Lonchura striata: one gene and its partner. The protein of the gene in region 2 purifies or fractionates together with the protein of the main gene of each other region. This does not show direct contact. Links are inferred from orthologs where the notes say so. Each region holds a gene or a part of one and is shown on either strand. Other genes may lie near its edges.

The links. Proteins that work in one complex are often made in the same cells at the same time.
Region 1: the proteins of XAB2 (region 2) and AQR fractionate together in Homo sapiens (co-fractionation; 3 studies listed by BioGRID and IntAct, with this or other methods). This does not show direct contact. The link is inferred for Lonchura striata from reciprocal best matches to the Homo sapiens genes XAB2 and AQR.

The regions. Positions count from the first base shown.
Region 1 is NC_134608.1:29,474,051-29,481,867, forward strand, and holds the start of AQR (RNA helicase aquarius), read right to left. Parts: upstream 3,017-7,817; 5' UTR 2,960-3,016; coding exon 2,870-2,959; intron 1,976-2,869; coding exon 1,919-1,975; intron 1,636-1,918; coding exon 1,595-1,635; intron 613-1,594; coding exon 577-612; intron 1-576.
Region 2 is NC_134623.1:2,281,115-2,288,962, forward strand, and holds the start of XAB2 (pre-mRNA-splicing factor SYF1), read left to right. Parts: upstream 1-4,848; 5' UTR 4,849-4,853; coding exon 4,854-5,141; intron 5,142-6,669; coding exon 6,670-6,818; intron 6,819-7,695; coding exon 7,696-7,819; intron 7,820-7,848. Other genes in the region: PCP2 (Purkinje cell protein 2 homolog), read left to right, coding at 1-96, 585-590; protein PET100 homolog, mitochondrial, read right to left, coding at 2,919-2,978, 3,152-3,184, 3,985-4,071, 4,604-4,717. UniProt on the Homo sapiens protein: Involved in pre-mRNA splicing as component of the spliceosome. Involved in transcription-coupled repair (TCR), transcription and pre-mRNA splicing.

The DNA.
Region 1 (7,817 bases), on a different chromosome or scaffold from region 2:
ATTTGAGAGTTAAAAGAACCAAGCAGAACATAAAATATTGTAGTTTTAAGTACATATTGATAATCTTTATTTTACATCGTTTTAGACATACTCTGTAAGTTCTTCCAGGAAAGTCTGAAGCAGTAATAAACTACTCTTTAAACAGACTTCTGTTCTTTTTCAAGAGAAGAAAATGTTAATGATGATGCTGCAGCACAATCCATTTTTAACCTCACAGCAAGAGATATAATCCAAAACCTTCTCTAATTTCTGCAAGTTCTGATTTAAAGCTTAATGATACATTCCAAATTACAGTCCCAAGTTTTTTTCCCTTATTTCATTCAGTCTCTTTCTCCATGTTCCTCTTACACTAGACATTGATAATCATAAAACAAGACACTCTGAGATGTCACTTACATTTATGGAATTATTTCCTCTTTAAACTAAGCTCTCCTCATTTTCCTCAGTACACAATTCAAGGCCTTAGAAAGTAGGAACAAACTGTACCTTCAAACTGTCTTACTGCCCTGCTTTTCCTTCTCACCTTTACAGGTTCCTATGAAAATATAACTCCAAATTTCCTTCCCCTTAGCTTACCTGAATTCAAGAAGCATTATCTTTCTGATCGCAAACCTAAAAAGGAAAAATTAATCAATTAACATAGGAAAGAAAGCCTCCGACACACAGCTACATGAAAAATGACTATACTTTCCTTTATTACATTATATGAGGAAATATGTAGAAACACTCAGGAATTATTTCTGTCCTGACATTTCCATGCAATAGCAACCACTTGAATGCAGAAGCAACTGCTGTAACACTGGAGATGCTAAAGTTCAAAGAGCAATCAAATTCGCATTTAAAAAAAAAAAATCATGTAGGTCTTTTAAATATGAAACACCACTTCTAATAGCCTTGATGATATAAACTGCTAGCAGCTGAGAGTGTCTTCTGAACACTACAATTATATAAGTAATCTGTTCATAATGGTATTTTTTTCTTAGTGACTGGCAATGGAAGTTTGCTTTGACTCGATATGACGAAGTCTTAGATTGCTTTCATACAGGAATAATATAGAGAATTCTCTGCAGAGCTTGTTCTTCCCCAAAAAGCTCCAGCTACAGTTACACCTCTTTTCTGCAGAGAGCTGCAGAATGCAGTGTATCTTGGATTCATTGCTCCCCATCTAACAGTACAATTCACTGAAACCACTTTCCCTTTATGAATCTGGTAACAGCAGCCAGAACAGAGGAGGAAGCCAAAGGCAGTGCACTCCACAACATTTTTTTCTCTTTAGAGACAAAAGAAGAGATCAACCTTCTATAACCACTACAACAAAACCAACATAAAAGACAACAGATTACCAGGGAAAAGGTCTGAAAAATATTAACTCAAATCATCATGTTTAAGGTTTATGGGCTTAGGAACTCTCTTGTTACTACATTCATACTTTGAAATACCATAATGATGTAATTACTTAAATGCACTTGAGTAATTTTCATCTGCTTTTAATATATAGGTGAGTTTGAAAGTATTCTATCAAACATTAGAAACTCCAACAACATGCATGATGTTGGAATGGTGGTAAATAAGAGAAAACAACTGGTGTACTTACTTTGACCTGACAATTTCTTTTGTATATACATCTTCAATGACCTATGGAAAAAAAATTTAAGAGAATTTTAGATAACCACTAACATGATTCAAAATGCATTAAGACATTTTATTATGAACAGCATACAAAATAACTGCATGCTACATGGAAACAGCACCTACATTTATAAACTACAAATACATAACAAATAACAGTGTCTCAAGCAATAGTTGACCTTCCAAGCAGTCTCATAGAAAACATATAACACTAAATATTGGCACACCACGGAATGGTTGATCCTCATTATTTTACAGACCCCAACAAAATTCCAATAGAAGTAATTACCTTTACATCAAAAGACAATGTCTTCTTCACATGTGGAGCCCAGTATTTATTTGCTAACTGCACAAGGAAAAAAAAAAAAGGTTAAATACATACATTTTCATGTCAGTGATATAACATCTCTACAACAGATCCCATCCCCGAACTTTATTTCACTAGTATCTTGCTTAATTTCAGTTTATGCTAACTACAAGTAACAAAATAATGTTTTTAACAGCAATACTTATCAACCATTTAAAGCTTTTATGCCTAAACCTCTTTCAAAAGAAATGCAAGTCTTTGGGAAAATTTCAAACGCACAGGCTGCTATCTAACGAACATTTTCTATTCCTAAGTTACCTCTAACAAATCCATCAAAAATAAACCATGATTTTTCAGGAACTGCAAATCCCAAATGGCAAGTGAGTACGCTTCCTTGAGGAATCTGACAAGTAACTAGAAGTTCTATTTAAAAGCCTAGCAGGTTAAGGCTCTTTGCTGCAGCCATCACTCCACCAGTACTCCTGAGCGATGATAACAAGAGCTTCCTATGCAACTTTATTCAAGCTTCTTTATGTTCCGGAACAAGAAGGAGACCAGATTTCCAAGGAAAAAAAAAAAAAAAAAAAAGAAAACAAAAGAGACGACTTGTAGAAAACCATTTAGAACTTTAACCAACAGAGAGCTTTCGGCAGCTTTCCACACGTTAAGAGACGCCTTACAGCGATGCACAGTGCATCGCACCCATGCGTTCGGTAGCGCTGCTTTGTAAATCCCGCCGTTCGGAAGCGCGGGGGAAATGCCCTCTCGTACATGACACAGGCGCACATCTCCCGTCAACTGCGACCAGACAAGCCCCTCGGCCCAGCACCCCGGCCCACAAAGGCTGTTTAACACCGAGACGCCGTCGCAGCCGGAATGTCCCTTTGAGCGCCGGCCGCGGCAGAGGCGGCCCGGAGGCGCCTTTGGCCCTACCTGTGTCACGTACTCCGCGTTGATCTGCGACACCGTGGGCGCCACGATCTTCTTCGGCGGGGCCGAGGGCGCGGCCGCCGCCGCCGCCATGGTGCCGCCGCTGGAGCCGCCGGCACAGGCCTCGGTGCCCCGGCGCTGCCAGCCCGGGCCAGGCCGAGGGAGGGACCTCCGGGCCGGGAGCCGCGGAGGCGGGAGCGCTTCCGGGCCGGGAGGGCTGGAGCGGCCGCGGGGAGGCGGGAGCGGCCGCGCCATCTGCTGCTCCCGCCGTGCCGCTGCAGCTCCTTCCTGCCCCGCCGCTCCCTCCGTGCTGCTGCAGCTCCCTCCTGCCCCGCCGCTCCCTCCTTGCTGCTGCAGCTCCCTCCTGCCCCGCCGCCGCTCCTTCCTGCCCCGCCGCTCCCTCCTGCCCCGCCGCTCCCTCCTTGCTGCTGCAGCTCCCTCCTGCCCCGCCGCCGCTCCTTCCTGCCCCGCCGCTCCCTCCTGCCCCGCCGCCGTTCCCTCCTGCCCCGCCGCCGTTCCTTCCTGCCCCGCCGCCGCTCCCTCCTGCCCCGCCGCTCCCTCCTGCCCCGCCGCCGCTCCTCCCTGCCCCGCCGCAGCTCCCTCGCTCCCTCTGTGCCTCCGGCCGGAGTTCAGGGGTCGGTGTTGAAAGGCTGCGGGAACAGATAAGGAGACTGTCAGCACACAGAATTGCTGCCACACTCGGCCTTCCAACGCTTAGGGGGACGCCTGCTTTATGTATCACTTAGAGCGCAGCTTTCTGCCCATCTAACCTGGAAGAACACACTCTCTTTAATATCAAAGAATTGCCACTGACTCCTGAGCGTGGGTGAGCGCTCTGTTCCGTTCACAGGCCCGTAATTAAGATCTTTTACTTCAGAGTTGGACAGGATGATCCTTATGGGGTCCCTTCCAACTCAGAATACTCTGTTGAATCTCTTGAAATGTGTGCAGCAAAGACATGGGTACAAGGGTGAAATTGCATGCTCAAGGAAGTCAACCGTTTGCTAATGCTTTAGAATGCTTTGCAATTAACTTATTCTATTTGGTAAACTAATTAAGGAGGAAATGAACAAATTCCCTAGGGAAGTTACTGTGCTTTGTTTCTGGGCTCATTGTCTATCACCTGCCACTTGAGTACTTTAAACTTCCAGGCAGGTCCCATTGAAGTCTGTTTGAATATCACCTCCTTTGTTTTCATATCAAGGTGATCTCCATTTCATTTCTTCAAGCAGGGGTTAAACTAAATATTCTTTTTGAAGTTGAATTAGAATGTACAATAGGAATGGGAAAAGCAATGACAGTACCTTGAACAGGATCAGACAATGGCCGCATTCAAATAAATATGCCTACTTCATGCCTTTACTTTAGAAGATCCAGGAAGATGAAAACTAGTAAAATTTAAAAGTTACAAAAGTGCCAGTAACAAATTTTGTAAATAACTAGGATTAAAATTGAAGCTACAGAACAGTGATAAAAAAGGACAAAGGAATGTAAGTTTATTACCCATAAATATTGGCTGAAAATAGAAAAATTTCTGAATGGGCTTTCAGATGGAAGTCAAAAGTTGATTGATGTTAAGATGGGACAATTAGGAGAGGCAAATGCATTTTGGATTTTGTAGATTTTGTTTAAAAAATTGTGAATTTTCTACAACAGCCTTGCAAGGCTAACCTAAATCTTCTGGCTATGATGGATCATCAGGCCTGTGTCAAAACCCACAAATTTCTATATGATATCAAAGCTATGAAACCTGCAGGAGGAATCCACATTTGCCTAACTTTTGGCATTTGTGTGTCCCAGTGAGGAGGTCCGTTGTCTTCAATCTCACTACAGTCAGTGTGGCCACAGAAGTCCTTCCAAAGGGCAAGTCAGAGCTAATCCAAGTGCTCTCATTCTCTAAAAGAGCTTCTGATATCAGAAACTAATATTAGATGCCTCAGTGAAAATGCCAAATAAAGTGACCAAGATCCCCTCCCTGTAAGTAATATATTAATTTTTTTCTCTATAGAGGGTATTGTTTATTTAGAGAGTGCTGGGGACAGTAGGACTACAAATGAGTAGCAAAAGTATAAATTAGTGCTTTGGAAAAATACATAGCTTTCATCGTCAAGAGCAGAGGAACCTTTAAAGAATTGTGGTGAGACCAAGCATAATGACACACGGTGTTGTACCTTTGTTCCCATCTGCAAATCTCACCCCAGCTCACAACTGTCCAGTAAGACTGGTCTCTTGAATTCCTATGCTTAGTTTCTCCCAGAGTAGAGGCACATCTGACACTTTCCACTCCAAACTCCTTTGTAACTGAGGAGAAATAAAACCCTGTACCCCATCATCCCGACAGCCTTCTATTAAGTTCTCCATCTTTCTATACTCATTGGCTTAACATGTCAAGAAAATCAAACATTCCTTTCAAAAACCTGTTAATTCATTAATGAAGACATGTATTATTTAAAAGCCACATATTTGAGTTGATGCAGTTTTCAAGACTGTTATTCATTTCTAGGCTGCATACAGTCCTGGTCAATTTATATTCCATACTGCTTTCTTGCTTAATTAGCTCCCTTGTTTTGGATGCTTCCCTTTCTATATTATTGTAATTGGGAAAAATATACTTTTCTCTTTTTCTTTGTAAACCATGTAAGCCAAGGTCATCAGTAAGCTGGCCATTGCTTTTAGTTCAGTTATACTCTTCTGAGCACAGTTCCACCAGAACAGGAAGTACCTAGTGATAATCAGCAGGGGTTGGTCTATGTTCTGTATTTTCTACCTTGTAAATTATTTTAGATTCTGAAGTCACAGAAAATATTAATTCCTAGCAATGAAAACTCCAGAGAATTCATAGATAAAGATTTCAAACATTAATTGATTTTGTTATTGTTATAGGGTCATCAGTGAGACATGACCAGTGAATTCAGCAGATTAAGCAGTGCCATAGATTCAGCAGGGCCGTACTTCTAATATAAACACTGTCTCACTTTTTACTGTTTGTCTATCACACAAAGATTTAGACTTCAGCTTCTTAGACATAAACTCTGCACTAAGATGTAGACTCTGTGTATGGATACCATCTTGCACCTTTTTATACTCTGGTGGGAAAGTTTTGTTCCAAAGCAAGTAAAAAATACCATCACTGTATTCAGCACGCAAAAGGGCATTATCTTACCCATTCTAGTCAGCAATTTTTTTCAAAATAATGAGCAGGCATCTTGTCTGGTGGACAACTGACTTGTTCTCCTCCAAGGAAGCATTCTGCTGGGACAGATGATTCGCATGTGCCTCAGCCTGGTCACTTGCAGTACAGCAGCAGTGACTATTCCTGGCTCTTTGATCTGGAATGATGGGGTGGCTACTATCACAACTCTACTCTCACCTATCCAGGTGGCCAGGGGAGCAGCAGATCAATTGTTCCCCTGACATAAGATGGAATGGAAGATATAAAAACCTTCTTTCCAGGGTGAAGACTCTGTTCCCTCATAGCTGAGGGCATGCTAACACCACTCTCATTAAAGAGGAAAGCAGCTCACTGACAGCAGCATTGTTGTACTGCCCCGTGCTCTCCCATCCAGGAGTTGTTTTGCTGCTGGTCCACCTGCACAGTTTCAAGCTAGGCATAAAGCTCCAGTACATGACTTTTGGCCTCAACTTCTTCTTGATAGAGACACTGGGGCCTGATAGGTGGACTCTTCTTTCCCAAATCATTGACTCTGGTGTACTTCCCATTTCAACAGCAGTTTTTTCTCCTTTCTGCATATACTGAATACCTTTAGTGTTTCTTGGCCCATGTGTTCCATAACTCAGAGGCCAAGGGAATTTTATATTCCCTTTTTGAAAGCGAGCCTTGAGTGTTCTGACAGCCATGTTCTGTGTGCAGAAAAGTCAAAACCAGCTAAGTTTTGATGGCTGAATTGTGGTTTCTCTGTGCACATCTTACAAATATTGAGGTGGGTTTTAATAGAGCTATGCTTCTCAGGATGGAGGTCAAAATATCTGGGATGCATCTCACTGCTGTGTGGGAATATCATTGCATCATACTGCATGTGTACACTTAGCTTTGGGGAGGTACCTAACTGCACGCTGCACACCTTAATTCAAAGCAGATGAATTTCAGCCTGAGTGGCACTAAGCCATATGTTGGGTAGGCTTTCTGTGAATCGAGTCTGTAAAGCTTAGGGGAACACAACACTTTAAAATCAGCTTTTATCTTCATTTATTGACTTTTGCACATACACATGAGATTTTTCAAGAGGCATCCCTCTGAAAAGCTCTGAAACGGAAATCTCCACATATGAGAATTTCAAGTGTCATCATGCATCATGTAAATATACCAACTTGCATGTACAACTTTTCTTCTAACCAAAGGACAAAAGTAACTATGAATATGCAATATTTTTAAATATTTATTGCTAAGTTATATTAAATAAGTTTCTAAAAAGATGAGGGGATGAACAGCATTTAAATATAGAATAATATGTACATTAAGCAAAGAAGACCTGAAATCTCTGTGTCTCTTACCTGTTGAAATTATAGAAGAAATATATTGATTTAAACCTCCTTTCAGGTAAATAAAATTTAGAAAATCTTCTCAAAAAAGATTAGAGGAATCCTTTAACATGTAAAAATCCCCCCCACAATGACAGGGGGTTATTGCTTTGGTTACAGCTCATCCTTCATAGCAGTTAATATTCATATAAACTAAATGTTCAGTCTGTTCATTACAGCTTTAATTCAATCATGTCACGTTGGTTTTACTATTTTATTTATGTGCATTCTTCTAGTCCAAGACTTTTGTCACTGTGTTCATCTCATTAAATATGTGTACTTCCACTCAGTAAATATGGGTACTTTCAAAAATGATGCCTCAGTTAAGTAGCAGATGCTTCTTAAAATATTTAGAATTTTAAAGTGTAAAGAAGCCATCAGTAGCATTCTGATTTGTGTATAAATATTTATT
Region 2 (7,848 bases):
CTGCTGGACATGGTGGCCAGCTCGCAGGGCCGCAGGATGGACGAGCAGCGGCTGCCGGTGCCCCGCCTGCCCGGCTTCGGCTCGGGGGGCACGCAGGTGGGCACCGGGCACCGGGGGTACCGGGGTACCGGGATACCGGGGGGTACAGGGACACCGGGGTATCGGGGGGCTTCGGCTCGGGGGGCACGCAGGTGGGCACCGGGCACCGGGGGCACCGGGGGGTACAGGGATACTGGGGGGCTTGAGCTCGGGGGGCACGCAGGTGGGCACCGGTAAGGTACCGGGGGTTACTGGGGGGCACCGGGCGGGTACCGGGGGGGCTTCGTCTCGAGGGGGGCATTGGGCACCGGGGGTACCGGGGGGCACCGGGAGGGCACTGGGGGGGTTTCGGCTCGGGGCGGGGGGCACGCAGGTGGGCTTTGGTCAGGGGGGGCACAGGGTGGGCACGGGGGTGGGCACCGGGTGCTCTGTGAGACCCCCCAGGAGTTTGGGGAGGGGGCTCAGGGGGGCACCCAGGGTGGGCACCGGGGGCACCCCCAGGGCTGGGAGCACCCCGCGAGTGCCCCTCCCCCCTCTGCCCGCAGGACTGAAAGTCCCGGGACCACCCTGGACCCCCTGGCACCCCCCCAGGACCCCCTGGCACCCCCAAATACACCCCAGACCCCCTGGCACCCCCCCAGGACCCCCAAATACCCCCCGGGATCCCCTGGCACCCCCCCAGGACTCCCCCCAGGACCCCCTGGCACCCCCAAATACACCCCAGGACCCCCTGGCACCTCCAAATACCCCCCAGGACCCCCTGGCACTCCCAAATACCCCCTGGGACCCCCAAATACCCCCCGGGATCCCCTGGCACCCCCCCAGGCCCCCTTGGCACCCCCTCGGGACCCCCAAATACCCCCCGGACCCCCAAATACCCCCCGGACCCCCTGGCACCCTCCTGGACCCCCTGGCACCCCCAAATACCCCCCGGACCCCCTGGCACCCTCCTGGACCCCCTGGCACCCCCAAATACCCCCCGGACCCCCTGGCACCCTCCCGGACCCCCCTGGCACCCCGTGCCCGCCCCTCGCCCGCTGTGTCCCCAATAAACCCCGAGCAATGGGCCTGGCACAGCGTGGGGACACGGGGGGACACCGGGGGGGACCTTGGGGACACGGAGGTGGCACCGAGGGTGGCACCAGGCAGGGGGTGACACTGGGGATGGCACCAGGGTGACACTGACACATCTCGGGGTGATACTAAGGGTGGCACCAGGCAGGGGAGGTGACACCAACACCTCTGGGGGTGGCACCGGGCAGGAGGTGACACTGGGGGTGGCACTGACACCTCTGGGGGTGGCACCAAGGGTGGCACTGGGCAGGGGAGGTGGCACTGACACCTCTGGGGGTGGCACTGAGGGTGGCACCAGGCAGGGGGGTGACACCGGGGGTGGCACCGACACCTCTGGGGGTGGCACCAGGGGTGGCACCTCTGGGGACCTTGGGTACACGGGGGTGGCACTGGGCAGGGGGTGACACTGGGGATGGCACCAGGGTGACACTGACACCTCTGGGGGTGGCACTGAGGGTGGCACAGGGCAGGGGGTGACACTGGGGGTGGCACCGACACCTCTGGGGGTGGCATCAGGGGGCACCTGTGGGGACCTTGGGGACATGGGGGTGGCACTGAGGGTGGCACCGGGCGGGGGGGGTGACACGGACATCTCTGGGGGTGGCACTGAGGGTGGCACCGAGAGACGCTGGCAGCACTCAGGTGACATTAAAGGACACTGGACGCCCGTGGGGGTGGCACCAGGGGACACCGAGAGACACAGGGGTGGCACTGAGGGGTGGCACTGAGGGGTGGCAGTGCCCCCCTGGGGACACCCCGGGAACACTTTGGGGACACCCCGGGGACACTTTGGGGACACCCTGGGGACACCCCGGGGACACTTTGGGGACACCCCGGGGACACTTTGGGGACACCTTGGGGACACCCCGTGGGCGGTGCCAGCGCTGTTTATTGGGGTGGGGACAGCTGGGAGTGCCACGTGTCCCCTGGCACGTCACACACGTGTCACACACACGTGTCACGCGTGTCACCGACGGTCACAGTGGTGACACCGGGGCTGTCACTGTCACTGAGGTCACAGCGGTGACACCAGGGCTGTCACTGTCACCAAAGTCACAGCAGTGACACCAGTGCTGTCACCATCACCGAGGTCACAGCGGTGACACCAGGGCTGTCACTGTCACCAACAATCACAGCGGTGACACCGGGGCTGTCACTGTCCCCTCTGTCACCAGCGCGTGCCTGGCACCGGTGTCACCGTGTGCCCACGGTGACAGGGTAGCGCCAGGCGTGTCCCGTGTCACCGCCACGGCGCCGGTGTCACAGCAATGCCACGTCCCTGCTGCCGCCGCCGTGTCCTCGCTGCCACCGCTGTGTCCTTGTTGTCACCGCTGTGTCCTCGGTGTCACCGCCGTGTCCTTGGTGTCACCGCCGTGTCCCTGTTGTCACCGCTGTGTCCTCGTTGTCACCGTGTCCCTGTTGCCACCACCATGTCCCCGCTGCCACCGCCGTGTCCTTGTTGTCACTGCCATGTCCTCACTGTCACCGCCGTGTCCTCGCTGCCACCGTGTCCTCGCTGTCACTGCTGCATCCTGCAGGTGGCCGTGTGTCCTGCAGGTGGCCGTGTCCCTGCTGTCACCGTGTCCCCGTTGTCACCGCCGTGTCCCATGGGTGGCCGTGTGTCCCGTGGGTGGCCATGTGTCCCTGCTGTCACCATGTCCCAGTTGTCACCGCCGTGTCCCATGGGTGGCCGTGTGTCCCGCGGGTGGCCGTGTGTCCCGCAGGTGGCCGTGTGTCCCTGCTGTCACCGTGTCCCCGTTGTCACCGCCGTGTCCCGCGGGTGGCCGTGTGTCCCCTCTGTCCCCTCACGCCTGTGTCCCTCTCCTCTCCTGCAGCCGCTGCTTCAGCTCAGCCATGGCCTGGCGCTGAGGGGACAGGGACAGGGAGGGGACAGGGACAGGGACACTGAGGGGACAGGGACAGGGAGGGGACACTGAGGGGACAGGGACAGGGAGGGGACAGGGACAGGGACACTGAGGGGGACATTGGGGACACTGACAGGGACATTTGGGGACATTTGGGGACGCTGTGCTCTCACCCGTTCCGGCGTGTCCGGCGGGAAAATCTCCCTCTGCAAAGAGAGCGGCTCAGGGGAGGGGACAGCGAGGACAGCGAGGACAGCGTGTGCCCAGGTGTGTCCCCAGCTGTCCCCAGGTGTGTCCCAGCTGTCCCCAGGTGACCCAGGTGTGTCCCAGCTGTCCCCAGGTGTGTCCCAGCTGTCCCCAGGTGACCCAGGTGTGTCCCAGCTGTCCCCAGGTGTGTCCCCAGCTGTCCCCAGGTGACCCAGGTGTGTCCCCAGCTGTCCCCAGGTGTGTCCCAGCTGTCCCCAGGTGACCCAGGTGTGTCCCAGCTGTCCCCAGGTGTGTCCCCAGCTGTCCCCAGGTGACCCAGGTGTGTCCCAGCTGTCCCCAGGTGTGTCCCAGCTGTCCCCAGGTGTGTCCCCAGCTGTCCCCAGGTGACCCAGGTGTGTCCCCAGCTGTCCCCAGGTGTGTCCCAGCTGTCCCCAGGTGACCCAGGTGTGTCCCAGCTGTACCCAGGTGTGTCTCCAGCTGTCCCCAGGTGTGTCCCAGCTGTCCCCAGGTGACCCAGGTGTGTCCCAGCTGTACCCAGGTGTGCCCAGCTGTCCCCAGCTGTCCCCAGGTGACCCAGGTGTGTCCCAGCTGTACCAGGTGTGTCCCCAGCTGTCCCCAGGTGTGTCTCAGCTGTCCCCAGGTGTGTCCCAGCTGTACCCAGGTGTGTCTCAGCTGTCCCCAGGTGTGCCCAGCTGTCCCCAGGTGTGTCCCAGCTGTCCCCAGGTATGTCCCAGGTGTGTCCCAGCTGTCCCCAGGTGTCCCCAGGTGTCCCCAGGTGTCCCCAGGGGTCCGTGCCCACCTTCCTGTCGATCACGTGCCGCTGGAAGAGCTCGGCCTGGTTGGAGACCCAGAACACGGCGACGGGGAAGGACAGGTACACGCACATCTGGGGGAGCACAGCTGGGTCACCCGAGTGTCACCCCTGTGTCACCTGTGTCACCTGTTCCTATTCCCATATTCCTGTTCCCATCCCCATCCCCATCCCCATTCCCATTTTCCCATTCCCATCCCCATTTTCCCATTCCCATCCCCATTTTCCCATTCCCATCCCCATCCCCATTCCCATTTTCCCATCCCCATTCCCATTCCCATTTTCCCATTCCCATTCCCATTTTCCCATCCCCACCCCCATCCCCATTCCCATTTTCCCATCCCCATTCCCATTTTCCCATCCCCATCCCCATTCCCATTTTCCCATCCCCATTCCCATTCCCATTCCCATTCCCATTCCCATTTTCCCATCCCCATCCCCCATTCCCATCCCCATTCCCATTTTCCCATCCCCATCCCCATTTTCCCATTCCCATTCCCATTTTCCCATTCCCATTCCCATTTTCCCATCCCCATTTTCCCATCCCCATCCCCATTTTTCCATCCCCATTCCCGTTTCCCATCCCCATTTTCCCCTCCCCCCTCACCCTCAGGATCTCCAGCTTCACCCCCATGACTCCTCCAGGCCCCCCGCGCTTCCGGCTCCGCCAACCCCGCAGCACCGCTGACACCCATTGGCCACACCTCCAGCACCGCCGCATTCTATTGGCTGACAGCGCCGCTGCGAGGGGCGGACCCAAAGCGAGCCGCACCAATCAGAAGGGAGGGCGGGAAGGAGTGCGGCAGAGCCGCCGGAAGTGAGGGCGGCGCGCCGGAAGTGAGGCGGCGCGCGGGAAGATGGCGGCAGCTGAGGCGGAGATGGCGGCGCGGGAGGAGCCGCCGGGAGAGGCGGCGGGAGAGAGACCGGGAGAGGCACCGGGAGAGAGACCGGGAGAGAGACCGGGAGCGGGGCCCGGCCCGGAGCAGCCGCCGGCAGCGCTGGAGGAAGCGGCAGCGCTGGAGGAAGCGGCAGCGCTGGAGGAAGCGGCAGCCATGGCGGAACCGGCAGCGCGGGAGGAAGCGGGGCCCGCAGCGATGGCGGATCCCGGAGCGGGGCCGGGCCCGGCGCGGCCCGAGTTGTGCTTCGTGAGTGCGGGGCTGTCCCCTGCTGTCCCCTGGTGTCTCCTGCTGTCCCCTGCTGTCCCCTGGTGTCACATGCTGTCCCCTGGTGTCGCCTGCTGTCCCCTGGTGTCCCCTGCTGTGCCCTGCTGTCCCCTGGTGTCGCCTGCTGTCCCCTGGTGTCCCCTGCTGTCCCCTGCTGTCCCCTGGTGTCACATGCTGTCCCCTGGTGTCGCCTGCTGTCCCCTGGTGTCCCCTGCTGTGCCCTGCTGTCCCCTGGTGTCACCTGCTGTCCCCTGGTGTCGCCTGCTGTCCCCTGGTGTCGCCTGCTGTCCCCTGCTGTCCCCTGCTGTCCCCTGGTGTCTCCTGCTGTCCCCTGCTGTCCCCTGCTGTCCCCTGGTGTCAATTGCTGTCCCCTGCTGTCCCCTGCTGTCCCCTGGTGTCCCCTGCTGTCCCCTGGTGTGTCCTGCTGTCCCCTGGTGTCACCTGCTGTCCCCTCCTGTCCCCTGCTGTCATCTCCTGTCTCTTTCTGTCCCCTCCTGTCCCTTTCTGTCCCCTCGTGTCCCCTCAAGTTCCCATCCCTGTCCCCATCTCTGTTCCTGCGCCTTGCTGTCCCTTTTTGTCCCGTTTTGTCCTCTCCAGTTCTCATTCCTGTCCCCATCTCTATCTTTGTCCCCTCCTGTCCCCTCGTGTCCCTTTCTGTCCTCTCCTGTCCCCTCCCGTCACCTCGTGTCCCCTCCTGTCCCTTTCTGTCCCCTCCTGTCCCTTTCTGTCCCCTTCTGTCCCCTCCAGTTCCCATCCCTGTCCCCACATCTGTCCCTGTCCCTGTGTCCCCTCAGGAGGAGCCGGAGCTGTCCTCTGTCCCCTGAGAGTCCCCTCAGTGTCCCCAGTGTCCTCTCAGGAGGAAGAGGAGGAGAAGGAACTCCTCAGGAACCCGTTCTGGGTGTCCCCAGTGTCCCCAGTGTCCCCTCAGGAGGAAGAGGAGGAGGAACTCCTCAGGAACCCGTTCTGGGTGTCCCCAATGTCCCCAGTGTCCCCTCAGGAGGAAGAGGAGGTCCAGCACGAGGAGGAACTCCTCAGGAACCCGTTCTGGGTGTCCCCAGTGTCCCCTCAGGAGGAAGAGGAGGTCCAGCACGAGGAGGAACTCCTCAGGAACCCGTTCTGGGTGTCCCCAATGTCCCCAATGTCCCCTCAGGAGGAAGAGGAGGTCCAGCACGAGGAGGAACTCCTCAGGAACCCGTTCTGGGTGTCCCCAGTGTCCCCAGTGTCCCCTCAGGAGGAAGAGGAGGAGGAGGAACTCCTCAGGAACCCGTTCTGGGTGTCCCCAATGTCCCCTCAGGAGGAAGAGGAGGAGGAGGAACTCCTCAGGAACCCGTTCTGGGTGTCCCCAATGTCCCCAATGTCCCCTCAGGAGGAAGAGGAGGTCCAGCACGAGGAGGAGCTCCTCAGGAACCCGTTCTGGGTGTCCCCAATGTCCCCTCAGGAGGAAGAGGAGGAGGAGGAACTCCTCAGGAACCCGTTCTGGGTGTCCCCAATGTCCCCAATGTCCCCTCAGGAGGAAGAGGAGGTCCAGCACGAGGAGGAGCTCCTCAGGAACCCGTTCTCCGTGCGGGGCTGGCTCCGCTATGCCCAGGCCCGGCAGCGCGGGCCCCGCGCCCGCCTCAACCAGATCTACGAGAGAGCCCTGAGGGAGCTGCCCGGCAGGTACGGGCACCTGGGGGGCACCTGGGGAGAGCTGGGGGGCACCTGAGGGCACCTGGGGGGAGCTGGGGGGCACCTGAGGGCACCTGGGGGGAGCTGGGGGGCACCTGAGGGCACCTGGGGGGAGCTGGGGGGCACCTGGGGGGCACCTGGGGGGAGCTGGGAGGTGCTGGGGGCACCTGAGGGCACCTGGAGGGAGCTGGGGGGCACCTGGGGGGCACCTGAGGGGAGCTGGGGGGGCTGGGGGCACCTGGGGGGCACCTGGGGCATGTGGGGGAGGGCTGGGGGCACCTGGGGGGCACCTGGGGGACACCTGAGGGGAGCTGGGGGGGCACCTGAGGGCACCTGGGGGGCACCTGAGGGCATCTGAGGGGAGCTGGGGGCACCTGGGGTACACCTGAGGGCATCTGGGCGGGGCTGGGGTTACCAGGGGTACACGTCAGGGCACCTGGGGTACACCTGAGGGCATCTGGGGTGCTTGGGGGTGGGGCTAGGTGGCTCAGGTGGCAGGAGCAACATGGGTGACACAGGTGGCACCGGTGCCAGCTGTGCCACCTGTGCCAGCTGTGCCAGCTGTGCCAGCTGTGCCCTCTCCCCAGCTACAAGCTGTGGTACCAGTACCTGTGCCAGGTGTCACAGGGGTGCCGGGTGACCCAGGTGCCAGGTGTGCCAGGTGTGTTAGGAGTGTCAGGGGTGCCAGCTGTGCCAGCTGTGCCAGCTGTGCCCTCTCCCCAGCTACAAGCTGTGGTACCAGTACCTGTGCCAGGTGTCACAGGTGTGTCAGGGGTGTCAGGTGACCCAGGTGCCAGGTGTGCCAGGTGTGTTAGGAGTGTCGGGGGTGGCAGCTGTGCCAGCTGTGCCAGCTGTGCCCTCTCCCCAGCTACAAGCTGTGGTACCAGTACCTGCGGCAGCGGCGGGCACAGGTCAAAGGTCGCTGCCCCTCGGACCCGGCCTTCGAGGAGGCCAACGCCGTCCACGAGAGGGCGCTGGTGTTCATGCACAAGGTGAGAGGGGACACCTGGGACACCTGGGG